Arabidopsis thaliana: one gene and its partners. The protein of the gene in region 2 interacts with the protein of the main gene of each other region in a pairwise test. Each region holds a gene or a part of one and is shown on either strand. Other genes may lie near its edges. The genes, in order: MUB6, UBC9, MUB2 and MUB5.

Region 1 (5,643 bases), on a different chromosome or scaffold from region 2:
GCTTTCTAGGTAGGAGGGACTCCTCTGAGCAAATGCCGTTTTGTGGGTGCGCTATTGGTGCTGTTGATGGGGGTCTTTATGTTATTGGTGGACTTTCTAGGTCTAAAACAGTGAGCTGTGTTTGGCGGTTTGATCCGATTTTGAACTCTTGGAGTGAAGTTAGTTCTATGTTGGCGAGTCGGGCTTATTCCAAAACAGGTGTATTGAATAAGAAACTATATGTTGTTGGAGGGGTTGATCGGGGACGGGGAGGTTTATCTCCTCTTCAGTCAGCTGAGGTTTATGATCCAAGCACGGATGCTTGGTCAGAGGTTCCGAGCATGCCTTTCTCAAAGGCGCAAGTGTTGCCAAATGCGTTTTTGGCTGACTTACTAAAGCCTATTGCCACAGGAATGACTTGCTACAACGGTAGGTTATGTGTTCCTCAGAGTTTATACTCTTGGCCTTTCTTTGTTGATGTTGGAGGAGAGGTTTATGATCCCGAGACAAATCTCTGGGTTGAAATGCCGTCTGGTATGGGTGAAGGTTGGCCTGCGAGGCAAGCAGGTACAAAACTGAGTGTTGTGGTGGATGGTGAGTTATACGCTTTTGATCCTTCTTCTTCGATGGAGAACGGAAAGATTAAAGTGTATGATCAAAAGGAAGATACTTGGAAGGTTGTTATTGGGGAAGTCCCTGTGTATGACTTAACAGATTCAGAATCTCCTTATTTGCTTGCTGGGTTTCATGGCAAGCTTCATTTCATTACTAGAGACCCTAATCATAACGTTACAGTCTTACGAGCTGATGTCCCCAACATCCCAGTCTCCTCATCATCATCTAGCTCCAGTTCTGTTTCAATCCCACACTTAAAGACCAATGCACCTAACAAGTCAGACACTGTTACATGGAAACTCATTGCAACCAAGGACTTTGGTGCTGCTGAACTTGTTAGCTGCCAAGTTATAGATATATAAAGTCATCAGAAGCTTTGCCCATTTCTCGTGGGCCATTAAGAATCTCTGTGTACAGCCAGAAGCAAAAACATGAAGCTTATGAGATGTTCTCCCAAAGATTTTATCGTCTAATTCTTCGATGATATATTCTTCTGGCATTTGGCTGCCAAAGTAAGCTTGAGTAATAAAATGTTGTGTGACAAATATATAATAATGCGACTGTTGTATCGAAATTTTTGACATGCGCAAATATACTATAGCAGTACATTACCTAGCAGTACAATTGCAGAAGTTCTGAATATGTAACATCAGTATGCTTCTGCATACATATTTCTGTAGTTGGTAATAGAGAAACTTGTAAAAGAAATAAAGTTTCAGGTAAAATTTGCAACTTATGGTGTGTATGTGATTCAGGCAATTAAAACAGTCTAACACAAAAAGGTATTGAAACTTCCTCCTTTTTTGGTTAATCCATCTCAACCAGGGATCACATTTCTTGAATTGAATCTAAACCGGAAATATTCGGTTCGGTTTAGAATCTCTCTTCCTTGCACTGAATTATGTAGCTCTCTTGATTAGTTTCTTGCTTCGACTACAATGGTGGACCTAAAGAAAGTAAGAAGACAAGAATGATATGTATAATTGATGCCTTAAGAATTTAGAACGAATCATATGCTCATAAAGCAAACCGTTTCTAGATTCTCATTTCACACTTCACCTCTTTTCTTTTTATCTTCTTTGATTTTTATATGAAAGTTGTTGCTTTTGATTTATTTCAACGAATCTATTCTATGATTAATTTTTGACATTTGTTTTAGTACTTTAATCTGATGTGAAGGAAATAGTCTTCTTTTCATGAATATCAAAGTATCACTAGCCTGTTAATTATTCCATCCAAAGGGTGTATCGGTTCTTTTTGTGGCATGCACGAACGAATTTTTCTTCATAATAATATTTGGTTGGTGTTTAGGAGGAAATTTTTTATGGTTGAACTTGAACATTTGAATTTCAACCATTTGGAACCAAACTAATTCTCATTTTAAATGATTTCCACTTGAACAAAAACCGATTATATCTATTTTTTTTTCTTCGAATGTTTTACTTGTAAGTTGGTGTATACAATTAGATTCATTACTTGAAAGTGAAGGAATTTTAGTTATACCTCGGTAACATTTTTTCTTTCGAACCAAATCGAATCCAAATGTTAAAGCATTAATTAGACCAAAATTTCAATTATTTCATTTAATTACCAATCAAGATTACTCACTAGATTGTTCCTCATGTCTTAAAACCCCACGGAAAATAATCGATTTGTGTAATTAAACACAATCTTTAATTAGTTAAAGTAGTTAGGCTTATATAGTTGGTGGCTGCCATTTTCTAACACATTCGAAATTACAATATGTTTCTTTGTGTGTTTATGCTAATCCTAAATTCCAGAAATGCCCCTCTTACCATATAATTTTGGCATATATGCCAACATATTAAAACAAGAATCCTATAAAATAATAGAGGAATCCAAAACACAAGAAATAAATTTCTTTAATTAAAAGAAATTAATGGTTGTTAAAGAGTTCAATATCAAAAGGGAAAGTATCAATACCCACTTAATAGGAATCAAAATTATTGAAATCCACTTGTTCAATATTGATATTGTACAACATGGCCAGAGTTTTTGACTAATACAATATCACTATCGAACAATCTAAAGTTAATTCACAAGTCTATATTTTTGATTAGTAAGTCACTAAATAATCAAAAGTCAGCTTTATTGATGATATTGTGTAGGGGTAAAAACGTCAAATTGAGGATTCAGGTAGGATTACGAAAATAAAAAAGAATCTGAAAGTTTCCCAATTTGTGTTATGTCTGCTCAAAGACAGCCTTTGTAACCAAAACCAAAGTGTCTCTCTTTTCTTCTTCCTAAATTTCTTTCCACGAGAATTGATTTGGGTTTGTGTTGTTTTTTTCTTTCTTTTTTGGGTTTTTGTAATTGGGTTGGTGAATAATCCTGCAAAAGTGTTCGATGATTTTCTCCAGAGAAGAATTTTGAAGTTTCTCTTTTTAGAGATTTTTTTTGTTGTTGGGGTTTTTTGTTTTCTGGGGGAAATTGAAAAGAGATGGCAGGTGAAGAAGATTGGATAGAACTAAAGTTTAGACTAGCAGATGGTACAGACATAGGTCCAAGCAAGTATAATCAATCTATGACTGTTTCTTCTCTTAAAGAGAAACTCATTTCTCAATGGCCTAAAGGTATTTTATACTTATAGTTATGCTTTTGCTTCTTTCTACAGCTTTTCACGGTTTTGATGGTTGAGTCTCATTTGATTCATTGCTTCATGTATTTCTTTTTACTCTCCATTGGGTTTGATTGTATTAAATTTGTCTTCTTTCTGCAATGATTTGAATGTATGATGAACTTTTTTGGGCTAGTCTAGGTGTTGAACTTTGTAAAGTATGAGGCTTTAATAGATAATTATAGTTTTATAGTGTGAAAGGTTTAGTTGTTGTTGTGTTAAGATCACTCTAGTTACTGATTTTGGCTAAAACTAGTATAAGATTGATGTCTCAAATTGTATTGTTTTTGCCTGGATTTTTTTGGTTTAGGTGTTTGGTGTTTCTTGGCCTTATTGAATCTTATGTTGCATTTACTTTCTCTACTTAAGGTTGTTTTATAATTGCATTTTCAATGTTTCTCTGTTTCACAGATAAAGAAAATACTCCAAAAACTGTAAATGATATGAAGCTCATCAATGCCGGGAAAATACTGGAGAACAATAGGACACTTGCTGAATCCAGGCTTCCTGTTTGTGAACTTCCTGGAATGATCATTACTATGCATATTGTTCTTCGCCTTCCTACGTTAGACAAAAAGAGCGGTAATTTTCTCTACCTTGTTATACTGTTTATCGCAGTGTAACAACATGTTCCCTTGAATTCTGTACTCGTTAACTATGGCTTTGAGATCATGTTCATATCATCTCATTATATGAAAATTTTCTGTTCCACAGAAAAACTGCAGAATGATCCACCGATGAAGAATCGCTGCGTGTGCACCATTTTGTAGCTGCAAGTAAATTGGATCATAGAGATTTATATCCGTCATGATCATGGCACTAGATGATGCTCCACGGAACAACTTCCATGGCATCAAACAAGCTTTGAGAAGTTCCTTCAGTACAGAATGATTGGCATAGGCATGAAAACAAAAGATCTTCATTACAGAATTTGGTTCCATGTGTGTGGTTTTTAATTATTATTTTTTAAAAATCAAAATGGCTTGAGAAAATGTACTATGATTCTTGAAGGTTGGTTCTTTTATAAATATATACAATATGTTCAATACAACAGTAAATAACAAGAATGGTATTGTCCTTATGTATGTTCTTATTCTCAACTAAACTTCTCATTTTTTGAATTAAAGAATATGGGGTTTCTATACAACACAGAGAACACATCACTTTAAAAACCCCATATCTTGAGACTCGAATAAACAACAATTATATTAAGCTATCTATAACTCGAGACCACTCTTGGAACTTGGACTTCTTCAACATTCTTGGAACTTTATATACATGGTAAGTAACATCTGTGCATTAATGTTCACCAAGAGTTGCTGATGATGAACGGTTCAAGAGCATAGCCTTCTTTGATGCCCTAACGTTCTTCAGAGTCATCATCAGCTTTTGTCTCTCTCCTTCAACCTCTGCAAACTTGAGGCTTAGCTGAGAATAACGGTCATGCATTTCCCTAAGCTCTGTCTCCATAGACGAATACCGGCCTTTGGTATCCAACATTTCTTCAATTAGATTGTTTATGTCTCTGAAACTCTGGAAGATTGCTTCGTCATCGGTGTGTTGCTTCAAGAAAGAGCTGCAATTTCAGGCAAAAAGGAATAATAAGTTCAACGTGGTCTAGTATAGTTACAAAGGCGAAAATTAATAGCAGAATTTTTGAATCGTGTACCTCTGGAAATGGGTGGTTGATTTTTTCTTTCCACGCAATGCTTCAGCGAGTTCTATTTCCAGTGCAAGAACCCTTTCCAATGCGTTTCCGCAACTGAAATTCTCTTGAGATAGAGGGAAGATACTCTGAAGTTCTTCCTTTGCCTGTCGAAAACAAGATCATAAGACTTCTACAGACACTTATGCTTCAATTCATTACAATCTCTAAAAGGTAAACATCAGCACCTGACGCAACTGCATCAGCTCCTGTTCCAAACCCGGAAATCTGGTGTCTGAATCATTATCATCTTGAGGTTCAAGTAGATTCTCATTCTTCATCCGTTCTAGCTGTAAAGAAGACAGAAAAAAGACCCAATGACGCTAGGCAAAATCTTTCTGTAGATAATTACCATCATGTAGATATTGTAATTCAGAATTGCCATCCAATCCAAACTAAGTCACTGATATTAACATTTCCAATTAATTTAACTAGTAATTTTAACCCTTAATCCAGTATTACCTCATCGTTTAGGTGATCCATGCTAGACCTTAAAGTCTCTGCCCTGAATTTATCATTGATCAAAGCTAGGCTTTCTTCACGTTTGTCCAGCGCCATTGCTTCTCCGGAAGGTAATTGGTCTCTGTTTCCATTTACACTGCTCGATTGAATAGTACCCTGATGAACATACATTAAAATAAGAAATTCCTTATAGCACCTTTTTTTACCCGTCGAGCACAGGAAATAACATCCTTAATATCTAACT
Region 2 (6,391 bases):
CGATTCAATTTCAATGTATTCTTACGGTCGTTGTCCTTGTATTTATGGATTAACAGTGCCTTTAACAATAGCCTGGGACTACCTTCAGATTGGAGTCCATCACTTGATCATATCGGTTAAGATGTAACTGGACAAATATAACTCGAGAGACAAGAAGTAATGGTCAAAACAAAACTGCTCAAATAAAAACAAAAAAGTGAAAGACAAGATACTTTATCTGGACAGCACTAAAGCCAAAACACACAATATCTTTGGTTCTGGCCCACATATTTACCAAAATACCATTTTCAGAGGACTTATTTGACTTCACATACACAAAAGAGTCACACCGACTGATCAGATCCTCTGTTCTTTTCAAACACTGATCAGATCTACATTTTCTTTTTCCATCACTTTCTCTTCATTTTCTGTAAGTTTATATATACATTTATGTATGTGTGTGTGGTTTGCATGTTCGTTTTCGTAATATGTTAACAATAATATACAACTAACCCATTTGCAAAAGTTGGATGTGACGTTTTGATTCGGTTTTTATATATTTGGATCTTTATAAATATAGTTCCAAATTTATGTACTAAAACAGGGAAAACAATGAATAATCCAAGATCGGTTAGTCCTTTGGTTTCTCCAGCAAACCACTCAGATCTATTAGAAAACCAACGTCAATCCGGTTCTGGAGATTTCTCAAGATTAGAGAAACGAATCGGAGCGAGGAAGATGAAGTTTCATTCCAAGTCTATGCCCCGAGGTGCCATGTTTCTTGATCAAGAAGCATCTAGAAACTTCCACGACAAGAGGTATGACCTATTCAGGACCATGTCCGGGAAACTCGAACGTCAGATATCGAATTTACGTGGGAAACCCACTGAGAGTTCGTTGCAGGATCATAAAGAGATTACTGAATCTTTAACCGCTGATAGATACTTTGATGCTCTTCAAGGCCCCGAGCTTGAAACTCTCAAGGTATTTTATCATTCATTTTTGCTCATATGGTTGAGTTATACTTGTGTTTGGTTACTTCTATTTATGGGTTTATTGGTGGATGACAGGAGAAGGAGAAGATAGTTCTGCCTGAGGACAAAACGTGGCCGTTTCTTCTACGGTTTCCAATCACATCATATGGGATGTGTCTTGGAGTAAGTAGTCAAGCCATCATGTGGAAGACCTTAGCAACCACAGAGGCAGAGAAGTTCTTGCACGTGACTCAAGTGATCAACCACGTGCTCTGGTGGATCTCTCTCCTTCTCCTCCTCGCCGTTTCTATCACTTACCTCTTCAAAACCATCCTCTTCTTTGAGGCGGTTCGCCGTGAGTTTCGGCATCCGATCCGAGTCAACTTCTTCTTCGCTCCTCTTATATCAATCCTCTTCTTGGCACTTGGAATCCCACACTCTATCATCTCACATCTTCCCTCTACACTTTGGTACTTCCTTATGGCTCCCATCTTGTTTCTTGAGATGAAGATTTACGGACAGTGGATGTCTGGTGGACAAAGACGCCTCTCCAAAGTCGCCAACCCTACAAACCACCTTTCCATTGTCGGTAACTTTGCAGGAGCACTTCTAGGAGCATCCATGGGGTTGAAAGAAGGACCAATATTCTTCTTTGCCATAGGGTTGGCTTATTATTTGGTTTTATTTGTGACTCTCTATCAGAGACTTCCCACGAATGAAACCTTACCTAAAGAGCTTCACCCTGTTTTCTTCCTCTTTGTGGCTGCACCAGCCGTCGCTTCCATGGCCTGGACCAAGATCTCTGCCTCTTTCGATCTCGGTTCGCGTCTAGCATACTTCATCTCCTTGTTCTTGTACTTCTCTCTGGTAGTTTTTGTTTTCATTAACAGAGTTCTAGTGAGCTAGTGCTGAGTTTCTTGTGGTACAAGAAATGTAACAGCTTTACTTCTTGTGATTCTTGTTTCAGGTTTGTCGGATTAACCTTTTCCGGGGATTCAAGTAAGCTGTTTCTTGAACTGCAAGGATCTAATTTACCAAACCAAATAACATACATGTTATCTGACATAATTATTCAAAAAATATCAGATTCTCGCTAGCTTGGTGGGCTTACACGTTTCCAATGACGGCAGTGGCCAGTGCGACGATCAAATATTCAGACGAAGTCACGGGAGTGGCAACGAAGATACTATCGGTTGTGATGTCGGGAGCAGCAACTCTGACGGTGATAGCTGTGCTTGGGTTGACGGTGATGCATGCTTTTGTCCAACGTGATCTCTTCCCCAATGACGTTGTCATTGCCATAAGTGCAGAACAACCGAAGCAGAAGAGATGGTTCAAACATCTCACAAAAGAAAGTTATGGAAATAATGAGAGATGTCCCAAGATTTTGGATCCGGAAGATAATCAAATAGATTTAGAATCTCCTCCTTTAGTAAATGTAGATAGTTCCACGGTTCAGAATTCAAATTAACAAAAAAAAAAAATGTGATGAAAATTCATGATCTTTGTTAATTAACTTCTCATGTACAACACTATAGCAGTGCTAATAATAATAAATTAGCGAAAATCTTAATTATTTTGGTAAATTTTAGTTGCATACCATTCTTTTTACTGATCATGATAAATTACTTCTTCATTTCAGCAAAAATATAAAAACTATAATCACTTTGGCTTATTCTTTCGTTAGATTTAGTTATTATAGTATTGTTTGATTCAATTCAAGTAAAAACTATTTGAGTTATAGGCAAACTTAGTCACACCAACCGCAACCTTCACAATTTGTCTTAACAAGTTAGATCATATTTCGTGGAAATAATGTCTAGCTTAACATCTAATTTGTCGAATATATCTTAATGTCACTGTTATGTTAATTCATCCTCCATCTTTATACTTTGTCACCAAAACGAATCGTCTTGTCACATATGACATATGACAGTAAAAACAATGTAATAATTTCCTACACATCACGTTTTTGAAAAAAAACATCCTTCATCAACCGCTGGTCAATCTTGAAAGCATGGTAAATTCATTCAAATTACGTCAAATGATTCGTTCTACAAAACTCTCAGCCGTCGGATCATACGACTTTTGACTAAACCACTTAAACGACGACGCTTCGACGGGATTGGAAAACATCGGCGCCACATGATGATGATACGAACAACCGCGTTATTTTATATGTGCCGTAGGTACAACGCTGAGTTAGGCCCACCCAAAAAAAAGTTTGACATTATTTAAAACGAACGAATCTGAAAGAATAAAGCAGCAGAGTCCACTAATCAAACGAACCAGAATTTACCCGCACCCTATTTATTGTGGTCGCGACCACACAACATTTTCAACTTCTTCTTCTCTTCCGTTTCACCACCCTTTCTTCTCCTAAATTCGAAGAACCAAAACCAAAAACGTGAATTCGGAGTTATGATTTTGGATCTTCTTCCCGTCTTTATATATAATTTTCTGGGTTATGTTTTTCTTCTTCTTAATTCATCTGACCATTGGATTGGTTTTCGATTGCAGAGTCTTCAATTGGAATTTGGATCGTGGGATTTTGGAAATGGCATCGAAACGGATTTTGAAGGAATTGAAGGATCTGCAGAAGGATCCTCCTACTTCATGTAGCGCAGGTACCTATTCTTTTAGTCGATTTATCAACTTTGATTCAATAATTATGTTCCTCTTGCTGGATAATGATGGGTCGTTGGTTTTGATCTTCTTTTGAGCTGGTTTTTTATGTGTGCGACGGTTTGATATTGATCTCTCGTTAGCTTAGATCTAATTATCCTTGATTTTTAGGTAATTCAGCTGCTAATAACAGAAATTTGCATACTTCATGGTAACACTTGTTTGTGATTTTTCTAGGAATGAATCATAAAGGTCAATGTTCAAACTTGTTTGCTCGTTGATAGATCTGGTTTCATTTTTTGATTTCCTTGGATGAGATCTTAGGATTATAACTCTGTTGTTCTCTTCTAATTTTGCCCCTTTTACCAACTTCTTCTTATATGCATGTTGTTGCTTTTCTGGTTTGGTATTGAAGTTTTGGTTAAATGTTGACAGGACCCGTTGCGGAAGACATGTTTCATTGGCAGGCCACTATAATGGGTCCATCGGATAGCCCTTATTCTGGAGGAGTTTTTCTTGTAACCATCCATTTCCCTCCAGATTACCCATTTAAGCCTCCTAAGGTATATTCAAATCTCTACAGCTGCTTCTTCTTCTTTGAATTTTTTTTCCAACTTTACTTCGGCCATCATTTTTCTGTTGCTAATATCTTCCATCGTTTATCTATTGTTCTTTTCTCTGTGTTCTTGATTTCATTGCTCTCTATGTATGTTGTTACAAAAAATGTAGGTGGCTTTTAGGACGAAGGTGTTCCATCCAAACATTAACAGCAATGGAAGCATCTGCCTCGACATCTTGAAGGAGCAGTGGAGTCCTGCTCTCACAATTTCCAAGGTTTTCTTTTGTTCTTCCTCATCTTTATCATATTAGAACCATAATTTTGCAGCTTTGCTCTCCAGGTGACATCAATTTTGTGTGGTGCAACAGGTGCTGCTATCGATCTGTTCTTTGTTAACGGATCCAAACCCAGATGATCCTTTGGTCCCTGAGATAGCTCACATGTACAAGACAGACAAGAACAAGTACGAGTCCACTGCTCGGACCTGGACCCAAAAGTATGCCATGGGCTGACACAAATACTGTCCTTAAGGAAGAGCCCTAATAATTAAACTCTTCTTATTTCTATGTAATGATCTTTTATAGACTTGTCTGTCTTATAAAATTTGTGAAGACAGGATCAGTAAGAAATTATTTGATCTCCATTCTATGGAATTGTAAAACGTAAATCATCATCCCGTCTGCTGTTTCTTTATTGCGTGATGCCGATGCGTCTCTGTGTTTATCAAGGCTCATATTATTTTGGATTTTATTCTGTCCAAAGCCCAAACTAGCTACAATCGTAAGCCTTTCCGTTTTCGTAAACATTATTAACTTACATACGTAACATTTTCATTTTAGTATTATGTGGGCAATGATTTATGTAAATGGTGTATGGGGCCTAAGAGTGAAGTTGTTCATGAGTTAAGATTGTGATTGTGATCCATCTGGAACAATTTAATAAAATGGGACAAAGGAATTATCACTTTGAAGTTTGACCAATTTAAGATTTACAAAAAATAGTAAAACTATTAAAATCACCTTTTCCCCAAATAATATACTCAAACGGGTTTAGCCATTAGTGCTACTAAACATTATGGTATAAAGACCTTGAAAAAACGGTTACTTTTTTATGGTATAACCCAACTATTATGACACTTTTGTGTTCAAGGTTCTGTTTCAGTGATGGAGTATAGTATATTTTAACATAATGTTTATCCCACGAATTAGATTCCTCTTCGATGGACACATGTTGTTGTTAAGGTTGGGAGCTTATGAGGTTGGCGAGGTTTAAAGCAGTAATCAGGGCTTATTATGTTGAGATTAAGGTTATGATTTTATAATTTCACGTTAGTTTGTTGACGATTTATAAAAAAAAAATGTTATGAATGCATATTTTGCTTAATGAAAGTGCTAGTGGACGCTTGATCAATTCATGTTAATCTTTAAAACTCTTTATCTTAAGATTCAAATCAAAGTTTATTTTCTTTCTCGAAACTCCAACACTTGTATTTCTATATATTTTGAGTTTTGGGTTTACCGAGGCTTCCAAGTCCATTCGAATAAGTTTTTAAATGTGTGTTTTCACTACTCGAGCACTACTACTGATAAAACTTGTAAATAAATTATACTATTAGAACCGAATGGTATACTTTTCCTTCTAAAGCATTTAAACTACCACTAGTCACTAGATGCACATGTAAACTCAGCATCATATATGGTCTTAGTGTGGGTTAGCAGTTGCATTGAATAATCTTGTCTTTTACTTCATAATAGTTCTATGTTAAATCTGTAATTGTAATAGATATGTATGCATGGTATATAGTATCATGAATAGAAATTGTTTATATAGTAAAACCTAACAGCATAACACTACATTACTGTGTTCTACACTTCTACATAAACCAATTATATTCGTATATGAATACTCATACGTACGAAATTTAATGATCTCTAAACATATTAGAAAGAACGAAAGCAGTAAAACTTTCTGTTTCCAACCAGCTAAAGCCGTTAAAACTAGAGTTATAAGTTATCTTACCATTTGTCTTTCAACTAGTTTCGACCTTTTACATGATTCAACAGATTTTCTAAAAACTATCTCACAAATTTGAGTAGTACTATTACACAAAAAGAAAAGATTCACGTCTAATCCCACTAAGAATATATCAATTACATTAACCCACCAACGGCAATGTTTCATGTACTAAAAATACGAAAATTATTGTAAGAAATCAGAATATCAGCTTTCCAGAATTAAAGGCAGACTAACACCC
Region 3 (6,647 bases), on a different chromosome or scaffold from region 2:
TGTATCTCCCCAGTGCTCTTGTGACCCTCTCATTAAAGTTTCTCCCCCTTTGCTTCTTACTTTCAGATTGTTTAGGGAGGCGGATAGGTCCACGTCTTCTTGGTAGGGTAGATGATTCAGAGGTGAGTGGTTTCTTTCGTCGGCTAATTTTCAGTATCTTTTCATATTGTGAATTTATTTATCTCATGTTTCTCTTGCTACAGAGACTAGCTAGAGACTTTTATAAAATTCTAAACGAAGTAAGCACTCAAGAAATTCCAGATGGTTTGAAGCTTCCAAATTCTTTTAGTCAACTTGTTTCCGATATGAAGAATAACCACTATGATGCAAAAACATTTGCTCTTGTGCTGCGAGCCATGGTACGCTTTGTCTAATCTGAAATTATTTCTGATCCTACATATTATATACTTGCATCAAAAGGACATTTGTTTTTGTTTAGTTAGAAAATATTTTGCATCTATCTGTGGCTCTTGCAATTGTCAAGTTGGTTTCTTTTCTTTTTTATTTGCATTTGGAAGAGATCTTTGTTAATTCTTGTTGCTCTCTAAAGTGAGCCATATCAATGGGAAGATTATCATATGTGATATATCTCTATCTTGTCTTGAACAGATGGAGAAGTTTGAACGTGATATGAGGGAATCGAAATTTGCAGAACTTATGAACAAGCACTTTGCAGCAAGTTCCATTCCCAAAGGCATTCATTGTCTCTCTCTAAGACTGACAGATGAATATTCCTCCAATGCTCATGCTCGAAGACAGCTTCCTTCACCAGAGTTTCTCCCTGTTCTTTCAGATAATGCTTACCACCACTTTATTTTGTCCACGGACAATATTTTGGCTGCCTCAGTTGTGGTCTCATCCGCTGTTCAGTCATCTTCAAAACCCGAGAAAATTGTCTTTCACATCATTACAGACAAGAAAACCTATGCGGGTATGCATTCATGGTTTGCGCTTAATTCTGTTGCACCAGCAATTGTTGAGGTTAAAGGTGTTCATCAGTTTGACTGGTTGACGAGAGAGAATGTTCCGGTTTTGGAAGCTGTGGAAAGCCATAATGGTGTCAGGGACTATTATCATGGGAATCATGTCGCTGGGGCAAACCTCACCGAAACAACTCCTCGAACATTTGCTTCAAAATTGCAGTCTAGAAGTCCAAAATACATATCTTTGCTCAACCATCTTAGAATATATATACCAGAGGTAAATCTTTATCCCCTAGTTTGAACTTGCAATAGAACTCATGGGGATTCTAAATCATTTGCCAATTTCGTCTCTTTTTTTGGAATAGCTTTTCCCGAACTTGGACAAGGTGGTTTTCTTAGACGATGATATAGTTGTCCAGGGAGACTTAACTCCACTTTGGGATGTTGACCTCGGTGGTAAGGTCAATGGGGCAGTAGAGACTTGCAGGGGTGAAGATGAATGGGTGATGTCAAAGCGTTTAAGGAACTACTTCAATTTCTCTCACCCGCTCATCGCAAAGCATTTAGATCCTGAAGAATGTGCTTGGGCATATGGTATGAATATCTTCGATCTACAAGCTTGGAGGAAAACAAATATCAGAGAAACGTATCACTCTTGGCTTAGAGAGGTAACTCTATCGAATAAGCTTACACTTTTTTGTTTTTCTTTAGCAGAATCTAAAGTTACCTCTCTAATCTACTCTGTTTACTTTTGCTTTGGAACAGAATCTAAAGTCAAATCTGACAATGTGGAAACTTGGAACCTTGCCTCCTGCTCTTATCGCGTTCAAGGGTCACGTACACATAATAGACTCGTCATGGCATATGCTAGGATTAGGCTACCAGAGCAAGACCAACATAGAAAATGTGAAGAAAGCAGCAGTGATCCACTACAATGGGCAGTCAAAGCCATGGCTGGAGATTGGTTTCGAGCATCTGCGGCCATTCTGGACCAAATACGTCAACTACTCAAATGATTTCATCAAGAACTGTCACATATTGGAGTAGGAAAACCGAAACTTTGAGATGATCATGAAGGTAAGAGTTACAGGTGTATGATCATGAAGGTAGTTACAGGTGTAAAAGAGGAGAAGTAGTAAAAAAGACAAGGCAGTCTGCAGATATTACACTCAGTCTAAAGAAGGAAGAATCAGAAATTTAGTTTGCCACATACATAAGAGAAACTTGGTTGCAGCGAAGGGAAGGTTGCATAAGAGAAAGAGAGAGAGAGAGATAAAGATTCATTCTTTCTGTAAAATAGAAGGTTACCCTTTTTTTGAAATTCTTTTGGAGAATCCAATTCTTGAATCTTTTTATAAGAATGGGGAAAGAAAGATTGGGTTTATAATTCTTTTTTGGTTATTAAGAGAGAGAGGGAGAGGTTATGACCAGAAAAGCCAGTTGTTGATAAATTGAGGAACACACTTATACACTTGTTTTGTTGCTATTTGCTCCACATTTCTTATTAATATCATCATTTCAGTTCCTAATCTTTTCGAGCTGTGATTTTGAATGTAATCTCTACAAAGATCGTTGATGATTAACCAAACAAACAAAAATCTCCAATAGCTTTTGAATGTACAAATAAAAATGAGATCATATCAATGTACAGAGAGCATTTGGTAATATAATTATTATTTTTAAAAGGAATTTAAAAGGTAGAGCATTTTAATTGGCGTAGAGATGGGAAGAAGAAGAAGAAGAACAAGGACATAAAAAGGATTTGGGGAACATTTTGGCTGCAATTTATTCTCAAACCTTATGAGTGAGATCTCTCTTAATCATTCTCTCTTTCTTCTCTCCTCTGTGATGTGAGGTTTCGAAGATCCTTCTCTGATTCCTCATCAAACTCAGATCAGTAGCGGACCCAAGTAAGAACACCTAATTAGGGTTTCTTTTTGTTCGTGTTCCATCGGTTAATCTAATACCAGATTGAGTTCCATTGGTACTTTTGTTGTTCCTTTCGGAGATAATACGATTCATGATCGATCATATTTTCAAGGAATGATCTTTGCTATTCTTAGGATTCATATTATTTGATCAATGCGTTTCTTATATTCATTTTCACCATTCAGGATCATCTACCAATCCATAAGTTTCATTAGGGTTCACATTGAGACTTGAGCTAGAGAAAACATGTTTTTGTAGCTGCTTGAGAATTTGTTCTTGTGTGAAACAATTGGTTCCTTGTTTTTGATTTATTGCAGATAGGATCAAAGCAAACGAGGTTTCAATTTAGAGTTTTTTAAAGCTCAAATCTCGGTTGCTTCGGTTGAACTTCTTGATACACTGTCTCGTTTTGAGTTCTTGTTAGGTCATTCCTTTAGAGAGATATATGGCAGAGGTGAAGGATCAATTAGAGATTAAGTTCCGGCTTAACGATGGTTCTGATATCGGTCCTAAATTGTTTCCTGATGCTACTACCGTTGCTACATTGAAAGAAACCGTTGTTGCTCAGTGGCCAAGAGGTCAGTGTCTATGCTCTTACTCTGCTTTACATGTATTGATGATATTCATTTATGCAATGAGATAAAGCCGCGTTAAGCTTTATCGGTCTGGCGATTTCTCCATGACTAGAATGGTTTAGACTTTAGAATTGCATTGTAAAGAAACTTTCATATTTAGCCTTTTGTTAGGTTCAGAAACTCATTGCCCTCTTTATTGATCCTTGAGAAACTGGTTACAAAGATAAATCAATGACCAAACGTAAGAAGAGACTGAAACAGAATTAGAGCAAACGAGAGAGTAATTTCTGTACAACTCTTCTTTCTCCCCAATGCCCCCAAATTATCTAGACCAATCAGCTTCTTAAACCTTCAGCTCTCAACTAACCGATGAGGTCTATTACTGAGCTGGCAAAGCTACACTTCCCTGCATCACCCCTAGGCTAGTTACATTAGTCCTGCACTGCACTGGACTTAACAAGAACGCCTTCTCGCTTCTCCATGAGGACCTGCATTGGTTTTTCGCCTATATCTGTGATAATATCAAAACCTGATTGTGAGTCATTGGTGTTATGGTTTTGCTTGTTTGTATAATTTTGAGCAGCTAAGGAGAATGTGGCAAAGACACTGAAAGATATGAAATTGATTAACCCTTTATGGTTTTGCTTGTTTGTATGAATGTGAGCAGATAAGGAGAACGGGCCAAAGACAGTGAAAGATGTTAAACTGATAAGCGCGGGTAGAATATTGGAGAACAACAAAACGGTTGGAGATTGCAGGAGTCCCGTCGGCAATTTCTCAGGTGCTGTCACCACAATGCATGTTATAATTCAACATCAAGTTACTGAAAAAGGTAATCTTTAGATTCTTAAGCATTGTTCATAGTATATACTGTTTGAAAACCTCATCTGTTAAGGTTATGCATTTGTATGAGAATCTGAAGATCATTTGCTTTGCTAATGGTTTAAAACAGAAAAGAAGAAGAAGAAGCCTAAAGGTGATCTGAAACAGAACAAATGTGTCTGTTTATGTTTTGGAGCTCGTTGTTAACAATTGTGCAAGACAAGTAGAGAGAGTTAAAAAAGCTTGGGAGATTCACATTCTGTTCTTGAGCCTTCTTCAATACCTTTTGCTCTTGTTCCTTGTAATTCTTTTTTCTGACATGACATGACATGATTGGCTTTTTGATCGCTTGAGGTTTGGTTTCTATTGTATTTCGGATTCGCAACACCGTGGAAATTATTAGGTAACAAACAAATTTGCACGGAATAAAGTGAATCATCACGAAATATAACTTGACATAATTTCCGTGGTTAACAATGTTTGGTTTCTGTTAACAGTCGTAGTGGGCCAATCTCGTTATCAACGGCCCAAAATTCGGGAAACTATATATTAATTATTATTTTCTGCTATATTTTTGGACGGTTCATATTAATTCTACTTCGAAAAATCCTAAGTTTTCTGAGAGTGAACACGTGTCAGAAGAAGGTCTCAGTAGTAAGTACATCCCGATGGTTCACGAAGACTCCGGCGTCGTTTAGCAACTTCTTCTTCTTCTTTATTAGTTTTCTACTTCACCTTTTCTCTTGGTTCTCGCTAAAACTACACGAGAAAGCAAAAGCGTTTCTCTTTGCTGATTTCTTAAGTAAACATCTCGCCGTTTTGGTGGATTTGTGCTAAACTACCTGTTGTATTTGATCTTCCTTTTTCAATTGCTTGCTGTTCTTAAATTTCCGAGCTAATGGCGACGGCTACGACGACTGCTACGGCGGCGTTTAGTGGTGTAGTCAGTGTAGGAACGGAGACTCGAAGGATTTATTCGTTTTCTCATCTTCAACCTTCTGCGGCTTTTCCGGCGAAGCCTAGTTCCTTCAAATCTCTCAAATTAAAGCAGAGCGCGAGGCTCACACGGCGGCTTGATCATCGGCCGTTCGTTGTCCGATGTGAAGCTTCTTCTTCTAATGGAAGGGTAAAGTCTGAAACTTTAGGATTTTTAAGTAATCACAAATCTGGAATTGACACTGGAAGGATTTTACTGTACTGGATTGCTAATTTGGGTTTGATGTTTGTATAGCTTACACAGCAAGAATTCACAGAAATGGCGTGGCAATCGATAGTTTCGTCACCAGATGTTGCAAAAGAGAATAAGCAACAGATTGTGGAGACAGAGCATCTAATGAAAGCTCTTTTGGAGCAGAAGAATGGTTTAGCTCGTAGGATTTTCTCTAAGATCGGTGTGGATAACACAAAGGTTCTAGAAGCAACAGAGAAGTTCATTCAACGCCAACCAAAGGTAATGTAATGTCTTTAAGGGTTTGATATTTGTTGTTTCTTTGTTTGTGAGGCTAATGAAAATTAAGTTTGTGATTTCAGGTGTATGGAGATGCTGCTGGTTCGATGTTGGGGCGTGATTTGGAAGCTCTGTTCCAGAGAGCAAGACAGTTTAAGAAAGATTTAAAGGACTCTTATGTGTCAGTGGAGCATTTGGTTCTTGCTTTTGCTGATGATAAGCGGTTTGGGAAACAGTTGTTTAAGGATTTTCAGATATCAGAGAGGAGCTTGAAATCTGCAATTGAATCCATTAGAGGGAAACAATCAGTCATTGACCAAGGTTAGTAACCACATTTGAGGTTGATAGTTTATAATTTGATTGCATAATTTAGTGGATAAGAGAGTTAATGATCATGTTTGACAGATCCGGAAGGCAAGTATGAGGCGTTGGAGAAGTATGGAAAAGACTTGACAGCAATGGCAAGAGAGGGAAAACTAGATCCTGTGATAGGTAGAGATGACGAGATCCGAAGATGCATTCAGATTCTCTCAAGGAGAACAAAGAACAACCCTGTGTTGATCGGTGAACCAGGTGTTGGTAAAACTGCAATTTCAGAAGGGTAAGTTATCATCAAAAGATTCAGAAGTTGCACATATGTGTATGTAATGCTAAGATATTGCATCTCCACTTTTGAATCAGACTTGCTCAGAGGATTGTGCAAGGAGATGTACCTCAAGCATTGATGAACAGAAAGGTATTCAAATACTTATCAAACTGTTTCTTTTTCTGTTTTTAACAATTTGGATAACCACTGATTTAACCGTTCTTTGGTTTCTTTTCAGTTGATATCTCTTGATATGGGTGCTCTCATTGCTGGAGCAAAGTATCGGGGAGAATTCGAAGACAGACTAAAAGCTGTGCTTAAGGAAGTCACAGACTCAGAAGGCCAAATCATTTTGTTCATCGATG
Region 4 (5,522 bases), on a different chromosome or scaffold from region 2:
AATTAATTTTAGTGACCCTATCTATATATATCTCTGTGTCAAGGCCGGCCCTTTTCTTCTCATTCTACTACACCCACAAGCCACACCTATTTATCATCATCACTCCTCCTAAAGCAAATAAATGAAAGAACAAAAAATGAAGAAGCTCAATATTATACTTACTTGTTGGTGTGTCATGTGTGCGTAGATATGATGTGGATTGTGTAAGAAACTAATGTGGCTACTGGGTCCTCTCATATGGGACCAAACTTCGTAGACTTTAGTATTTACATTCATAGAACCAAAACATTAGTCTCATTACAAAACATTTACCACTTATCCGTTAAGGCTATAGGCTACAAACAAAAGTTACCAGAATTGACCAAAGAATCTTACGAGATTTGTGATTTTGGTATATGCAATTATTCAAGTGTGGGAGTGAGTATATTAGATCTATGAAGGAGTTGAAGCCTTGGTCATCTTTAAGAGCATACGAGTGTGCAGAGGTCTTCTGTCCTGGCTTGTGAGATATTGGTGAAAGGAAATATCCTGAACTTTCCATTTGCCATGCACGTTAGTGTTAGCTGAGCATCACTCACCATTGCCTGTCGTATTCACATATAGTTTTTTACAATGTTGTAATCACTAATCAGACTCAGAATTTGCATATATATAGACTCAGATTCTAGTTTCAGGGTCACAACAAAGGTTATGGTTTAGATGAATATACCTCGCAGGAAGTAGTCATGTCGCTGCAGCTCCATTTTTTGGTTGGAACACAGTCAACATAGCGACACCAATGGCAATGACGGTTGAGATTGACTCCCCAGCATGCTGCTAATAGAACCCCGGCAAGTCTAAACAGAGATGGAAAGCTTTTTCATGTCACAAGAGCGTAGATAAAACAAAAAAAACTAGACCAAAAAGAGATTTGAGGTAAATTCTCACATTCCACAAAACACGAGCAGGCATATAATCCTTAATACCGGTCTGTCAAACTGTTCTTTAAGCCTTGTGGATCTGTTCATATCATCTTCAAACAATTTCCCCTTATGAGATGGAGGCATCTGTCTCAGTTGTGGTTTGAACAATAGCACAAATCCAAGGAGGAATCCTGATATGAAACCACCAATATTTGCAAAGTTGTCTATGAAAGGGAGAAAGCCTATCAGGAAATTCACAGTGAAGATAGTGAATATTATCGCCAAGGCTGAAATCTGTACCAAGCAAAAGAAAATACAATCAGAAAAGCTATGAGAAGAAGATAACAAGAGACAAAACAGAACCACAAGAAATCCTTGACCTTGCTGTTATATAGATTCCAGTTCTTTGCAAGTGCAGAAAGCATGGCTCCAATCAACCCAAAGAAAGCAGCACCAGAAGAGATTGATGGGATGTTCCGAACAAACAACACAGCAAACAGACTACCCATAATGCCAGAGAGGAAGTATATGACTGCAATCCTCACTACAAAACCAAAGCAAAAGCAGAAGAAAGGTGGATTAGAAAGGTGATAGATTCCATCCAAAACAGACTAATCAAAAGTCAAGTAGTCTAAATTACATGGTCCAAACTGTTGCTCCATGTATATCCCTACGAAAATCAAACTCCCAAGATTTATGAATAGATGAAATAATCCACTGTGCAGCCATGGAGATGTCAAAATACGCCAAATCTCATGATTCTCCGTCAGAGCTTTCCAAGAAAGACCTCCCATATGCTCTAACCTGCAAACTCACAAGAAAATAAGTAGTCCATAGCTTATAATCAGTCATTTGATAGCTCAAGTTACCCCTATTTCCCTTAATTTTCTGAAACATAGAGCTCTCACAAGAACCACCACTTGAATTAGATTGCTTCATCAACAGAATGTAGCACCAAGAGCCACACAAATAAACACACACACACACTAGAACAACACAGAATTGTAAACAAGAACTTGTCGGTTGTCACTGTAATCAGAGATTGAGACACTATGAATCAGCTGAAACTCATCAATCTTGGAAACTAGTATCATCCAAATCCAACAAACTTCAGCAACCTATCGTTACCGATCCAAAAGATGAGCAGAATGAAACATCCAAAATTACAGGTCTAAGCAACGAAGCATCCAAAATCCATCTCTAAAGGATCTAACAATTCAATTAGAGATCGATTCCAAAATCAGTTACAAGCAGAGACCAAAAGCGAAATCCGCCGGAGAGAGCTACTTACGTTGAGGCGGAGGGACCAAGCATAGGATTCTCGGAGAGAGACTGGAAAGAGAATCGGCCAAGGAGTTTAGCGGAGCAGTGACCGTGAGAGTTCCCGGAGCAATCGTTGACGCCCATAGTTACAGCGAAGAGGACGATCTGAAGAAGAACGAAGACGGAGACAAGCCAAGTGTCTCGTTTGATTTGCCGTGAACGGTGACGGAAGAATGAGATCTTGTCCCAGCTAGAATCGCCGGCGTTAGAAGTGGTAAACGAGAGATTGTGAGAGATTTCATCGATCTGCGTCGTCTTTGACTCTGTAGGAACCTCCATTGTTGAAGGTGAGCGAGAAATTAGGGGATGATGACGAATGGGTTGTTTTATACTTTGTAGAAATTGGCGGGAAAATGTTATTGGAGAGCAAACCGAACGCTAACCGTTTCACGATCCGGTTCGGAATTGATTTAGAGCGCGTGTACCGCTTACTATACACGTCATTATCATTTGTATTAAACTCAAATCAAAATTTTAAAAGATATAGCTGGATTAATTTTTTCAACGCATTTGATTCTGTATTTTATTTTTATTAAAAAAAGATTCAGTGAACATATAAAAAGATTAGTATCATTAAGCCATTATTAATTACTATTTTCAAGCAAAGAATGTATCGTGTTTGTGGAATGTACGCAAGGAATGATTCATGTATTCGTGACGGTTGGTTTTGGTTGGCGTCTAATATGACAAGTGATCATAAAAGCTTATGTTAATATATCATCATATAATCCAAATCATTTATAGTTAGTACTTAGTATGCTAAATATACGTTGCAAATTTATCGTATATAGTCAACCAAAAAGGTAAATTCAGATTTGTATAAATGTAAATGGAGAGATGACTGTATCTTGAGATTTCTGGTAGTTATTATATAAGTTGAGAAAGAGAGTAAGAGACCCAATTATTGTTATTTTCTAAATTTGGCTCTGCTCAAAGACAACGGAACTCTCTGCTTTTCTTCTTTCTAGAGATCTTTTCTTGAGGTAATAATTTAAAGATGGGAGATGAAGATTTAATAGAATTGAAGTTCAGACTCGCAGATGGTACCGACATTGGTCCAAGCAAATATAGTCAATTCATGACTGTTGCATCTCTCAAGGAGAAAATCATTGCTCAATGGCCTAAAGGTAAATCATTTTCTATGTTTCTTCTCAAAAGTTTTGCTATTTGTTTAAAGGTGAAGTTGAAAATCTTGTTGTGGACAGACAAAGAAAACGCACCAAAGATGATAAATGAGGTTAAGCTCATCAATGGTGGGAAGATACTTGAGAACAACAAAACACTTTCTGAAGCAAGGTCCTTAATAACTATTGGTGAACTTCCTGGAATTGTAACTACAATGCATGTTGTTCTTCGTCCTCCTCTCTTTGAGAAGAAAAAAGGTAATTTCTATACATTTTCTCTTCAATTCTTGAGTGTTTTTGTGTGTATTTTGTATATCTCAAAGCTTTGTTTTTATGTTTTCTTTTGTTTCTTCAGAGAAACTGCAGAATGATCCTCCAAGGAAGAGTCACTGTGTATGCTGCATTTTGTAGCTCCACTTAGAGATTTTTGATCCTTTATACAATTTATTCCATTGGAAAAAACTTTCCATATCTTAAAGTCTTCAACATGGATCTTCATTACCAGAATGATTTTGGTTTTTCTTCCTTCCTTTTCTTCTTCATTGTTTATCAAAAATGGCTTAAGAAAAATTACTGTGTTGTTGAAGATTGAGGTATTATGTAAAAATTTGTTCATATGAGTGAAAAGCAAATATGAGTTGCTTGAAAGGACCTGTTATAACACAAGAAGATAACTAGTTATATATAACTTTAGAGCACTACAATATTTACTTAGAGATGTATATCCATCCACATAGTAACAAATGCTCCAACTTTTATCTGTTGTGATCACTACATCTTCACACAAGCTTGAGCATTTCCTCAATTAGATTGTTTATGGCTCTATACTTCATCATCACAATGTTTGCTTCAAGAAAGAGCTGCAAGAGTTTCAGAAACTGAGTGATGATAAAATAATTACTGTGTTTTTCTTTAAGCATATTTATCTGGAAGCTTGGTCTGACTATACAGATCTACTAAATCAGCACATGCATTGTGGAAGGTTGTAGGGTAAGTTTTGATTAGAAAGGGACACCATTTTATGGCCTTAAGATGGAGAGTAGGTCCACTATCAGTTAATGGGTGAGGAAAATGATGGTATGACATGACAATATGATATAACATGAGTTGCTTTCAATCAACCTATATAGTACACTAAGATTATTATGGATGACTATATAGTACACTAAGTTTATTATGGATGACTAGTTCTGAAAATGACCCCTTTTTTGCTTTTGTCCTTCAAGTGCCTAATTCTCTGTTTTTTCCAGCCTAGTTAAACTAGTAACCACAAGTCAGTAAATCAACATGATGTAATCAAGAATTGGCTATGGCAAGTTCTCGAAACGATTGTATGCATTATGCAATCATATTCAAACCATAAATCCTACATCATATAGAAAACAAAATGATATATATGATCATGAGGAAGCAATGACTCAAACAGTGGTAACAAGATAGTGCTCGAGACAAATTGAATAGGGGCAACGTATGCACAACATGACACCACTCAACTTTCCCATAAACCTCATGGTCGTTGCGCCTCTCAGTCATAAAGAAATAGAGACAACTCTCGGAGGTACCTAAAAGCCGTCGGGTCTCGTAGAGCTCTGTGGAAGCGAGAAGAGAGCGGAATCTCTTGGAGACTAACGAGAGAGTTGGGTAGTACAATCTAGAGATGCGTGCTAAGCAATTCAAGAGTAGATCGTCTGGGAGATATGGTATACTAACCTTTTCAGCTTCAGATGTGCTACTCAACACAATCTTCTTCTTCTTCTTCCTCATCTTCACCGACGACTTGATCCTCTGGCAGTCACCGACCAACACAGTTCTTCTTCTCCGACAAATGCTTTTTTCTATTTCGCTAATCTCAACAATTTGGGTCAGTAAAATGCTATTGGGCTGGGCCTGTATTCTTTTCTTTTATTTAATTTAAATCGTAAGCCTTTTTACGAAAAAAAAAACAATTGGAGAAGAACGAGATTTCGGGGATTCTGATGGTTCTCAATGGGCCTTTTAACTGATTCAAGCCCACTCTCTTTTTTTTTTTTGGTGATTTCAAGCCCACTCTCTTAATTCACTTCCAAAGAGTTTTATTAAATTTAATATGTTACTAAAATTTTTTATATCATTTAAAAATTAATAGTTAATTCATTTGTAAAGGTAAAATTGAAATTTGTTTTTTGTTATGAAA

Evidence for each region.
Region 1: the proteins of UBC9 (region 2) and MUB6 interact in a two-hybrid assay, tested with the Arabidopsis thaliana proteins (one study listed by BioGRID).
Region 3: the proteins of UBC9 (region 2) and MUB2 interact in a two-hybrid assay, tested with the Arabidopsis thaliana proteins (one study listed by BioGRID).
Region 4: the proteins of UBC9 (region 2) and MUB5 interact in a two-hybrid assay, tested with the Arabidopsis thaliana proteins (one study listed by BioGRID).

What each region holds. Positions count from the first base shown.
Region 1 is NC_003070.9:7,768,842-7,774,484, forward strand, and holds MUB6 (membrane-anchored ubiquitin-fold protein 6 precursor), read left to right. Parts: upstream 1-2,817; 5' UTR 2,818-3,055; coding exon 3,056-3,188; intron 3,189-3,291; exon of another isoform or gene 3,292-3,643; coding exon 3,644-3,814; intron 3,815-3,946; coding exon 3,947-4,002; 3' UTR 4,003-4,313; downstream 4,314-5,643. Other genes in the region: AT1G22040 (Galactose oxidase/kelch repeat superfamily protein), read left to right, coding at 1-956; AT1G22060 (sporulation-specific protein), read right to left, coding at 4,532-4,808, 4,902-5,044, 5,126-5,227, 5,400-5,555. UniProt on the Arabidopsis thaliana protein: May serve as docking site to facilitate the association of other proteins to the plasma membrane.
Region 2 is NC_003075.7:13,914,323-13,920,713, reverse strand, and holds UBC9 (ubiquitin conjugating enzyme 9), read left to right. Parts: upstream 1-3,213; 5' UTR 3,214-3,420; coding exon 3,421-3,580; intron 3,581-4,013; coding exon 4,014-4,141; intron 4,142-4,307; coding exon 4,308-4,412; intron 4,413-4,505; coding exon 4,506-4,649; 3' UTR 4,650-5,183; downstream 5,184-6,391. Other genes in the region: SLAH2 (SLAC1 homologue 2), read left to right, coding at 592-963, 1,050-1,820, 1,921-1,952, 2,040-2,424. UniProt on the Arabidopsis thaliana protein: Accepts the ubiquitin-like protein SUMO/SMT3 from the E1 complex and catalyzes its covalent attachment to other proteins. Mediates the selective degradation of short-lived and abnormal proteins.
Region 3 is NC_003076.8:5,016,756-5,023,402, reverse strand, and holds MUB2 (membrane-anchored ubiquitin-fold protein 2), read left to right. Parts: upstream 1-2,476; 5' UTR 2,477-2,833; exon of another isoform or gene 2,834-3,169; 5' UTR 3,170-3,297; coding exon 3,298-3,430; intron 3,431-3,632; exon of another isoform or gene 3,633-3,907; coding exon of another isoform or gene 3,908-3,962; intron 3,963-4,094; coding exon 4,095-4,259; intron 4,260-4,379; coding exon 4,380-4,456; 3' UTR 4,457-4,723; downstream 4,724-6,647. Other genes in the region: GAUT14 (galacturonosyltransferase 14), read left to right, coding at 67-122, 204-359, 610-1,200, 1,289-1,591, 1,689-1,970; CLPB3 (casein lytic proteinase B3), read left to right, coding at 5,148-5,375, 5,481-5,699, 5,780-6,017, 6,102-6,297, 6,378-6,432, 6,521-6,647. UniProt on the Arabidopsis thaliana protein: May serve as docking site to facilitate the association of other proteins to the plasma membrane.
Region 4 is NC_003070.9:29,281,955-29,287,476, forward strand, and holds MUB5 (membrane-anchored ubiquitin-fold protein 5 precursor), read left to right. Parts: upstream 1-3,008; 5' UTR 3,009-3,222; coding exon 3,223-3,352; intron 3,353-3,430; coding exon 3,431-3,607; intron 3,608-3,704; coding exon 3,705-3,760; 3' UTR 3,761-4,128; coding exon of another isoform or gene 4,129-4,209; 3' UTR 4,210-4,386; downstream 4,387-5,522. Other genes in the region: KOM (Rhomboid-related intramembrane serine protease family protein), read right to left, coding at 462-584, 710-836, 928-1,196, 1,283-1,446, 1,543-1,706, 2,194-2,504; AT1G77880 (Galactose oxidase/kelch repeat superfamily protein), read right to left, coding at 4,721-5,113. UniProt on the Arabidopsis thaliana protein: May serve as docking site to facilitate the association of other proteins to the plasma membrane.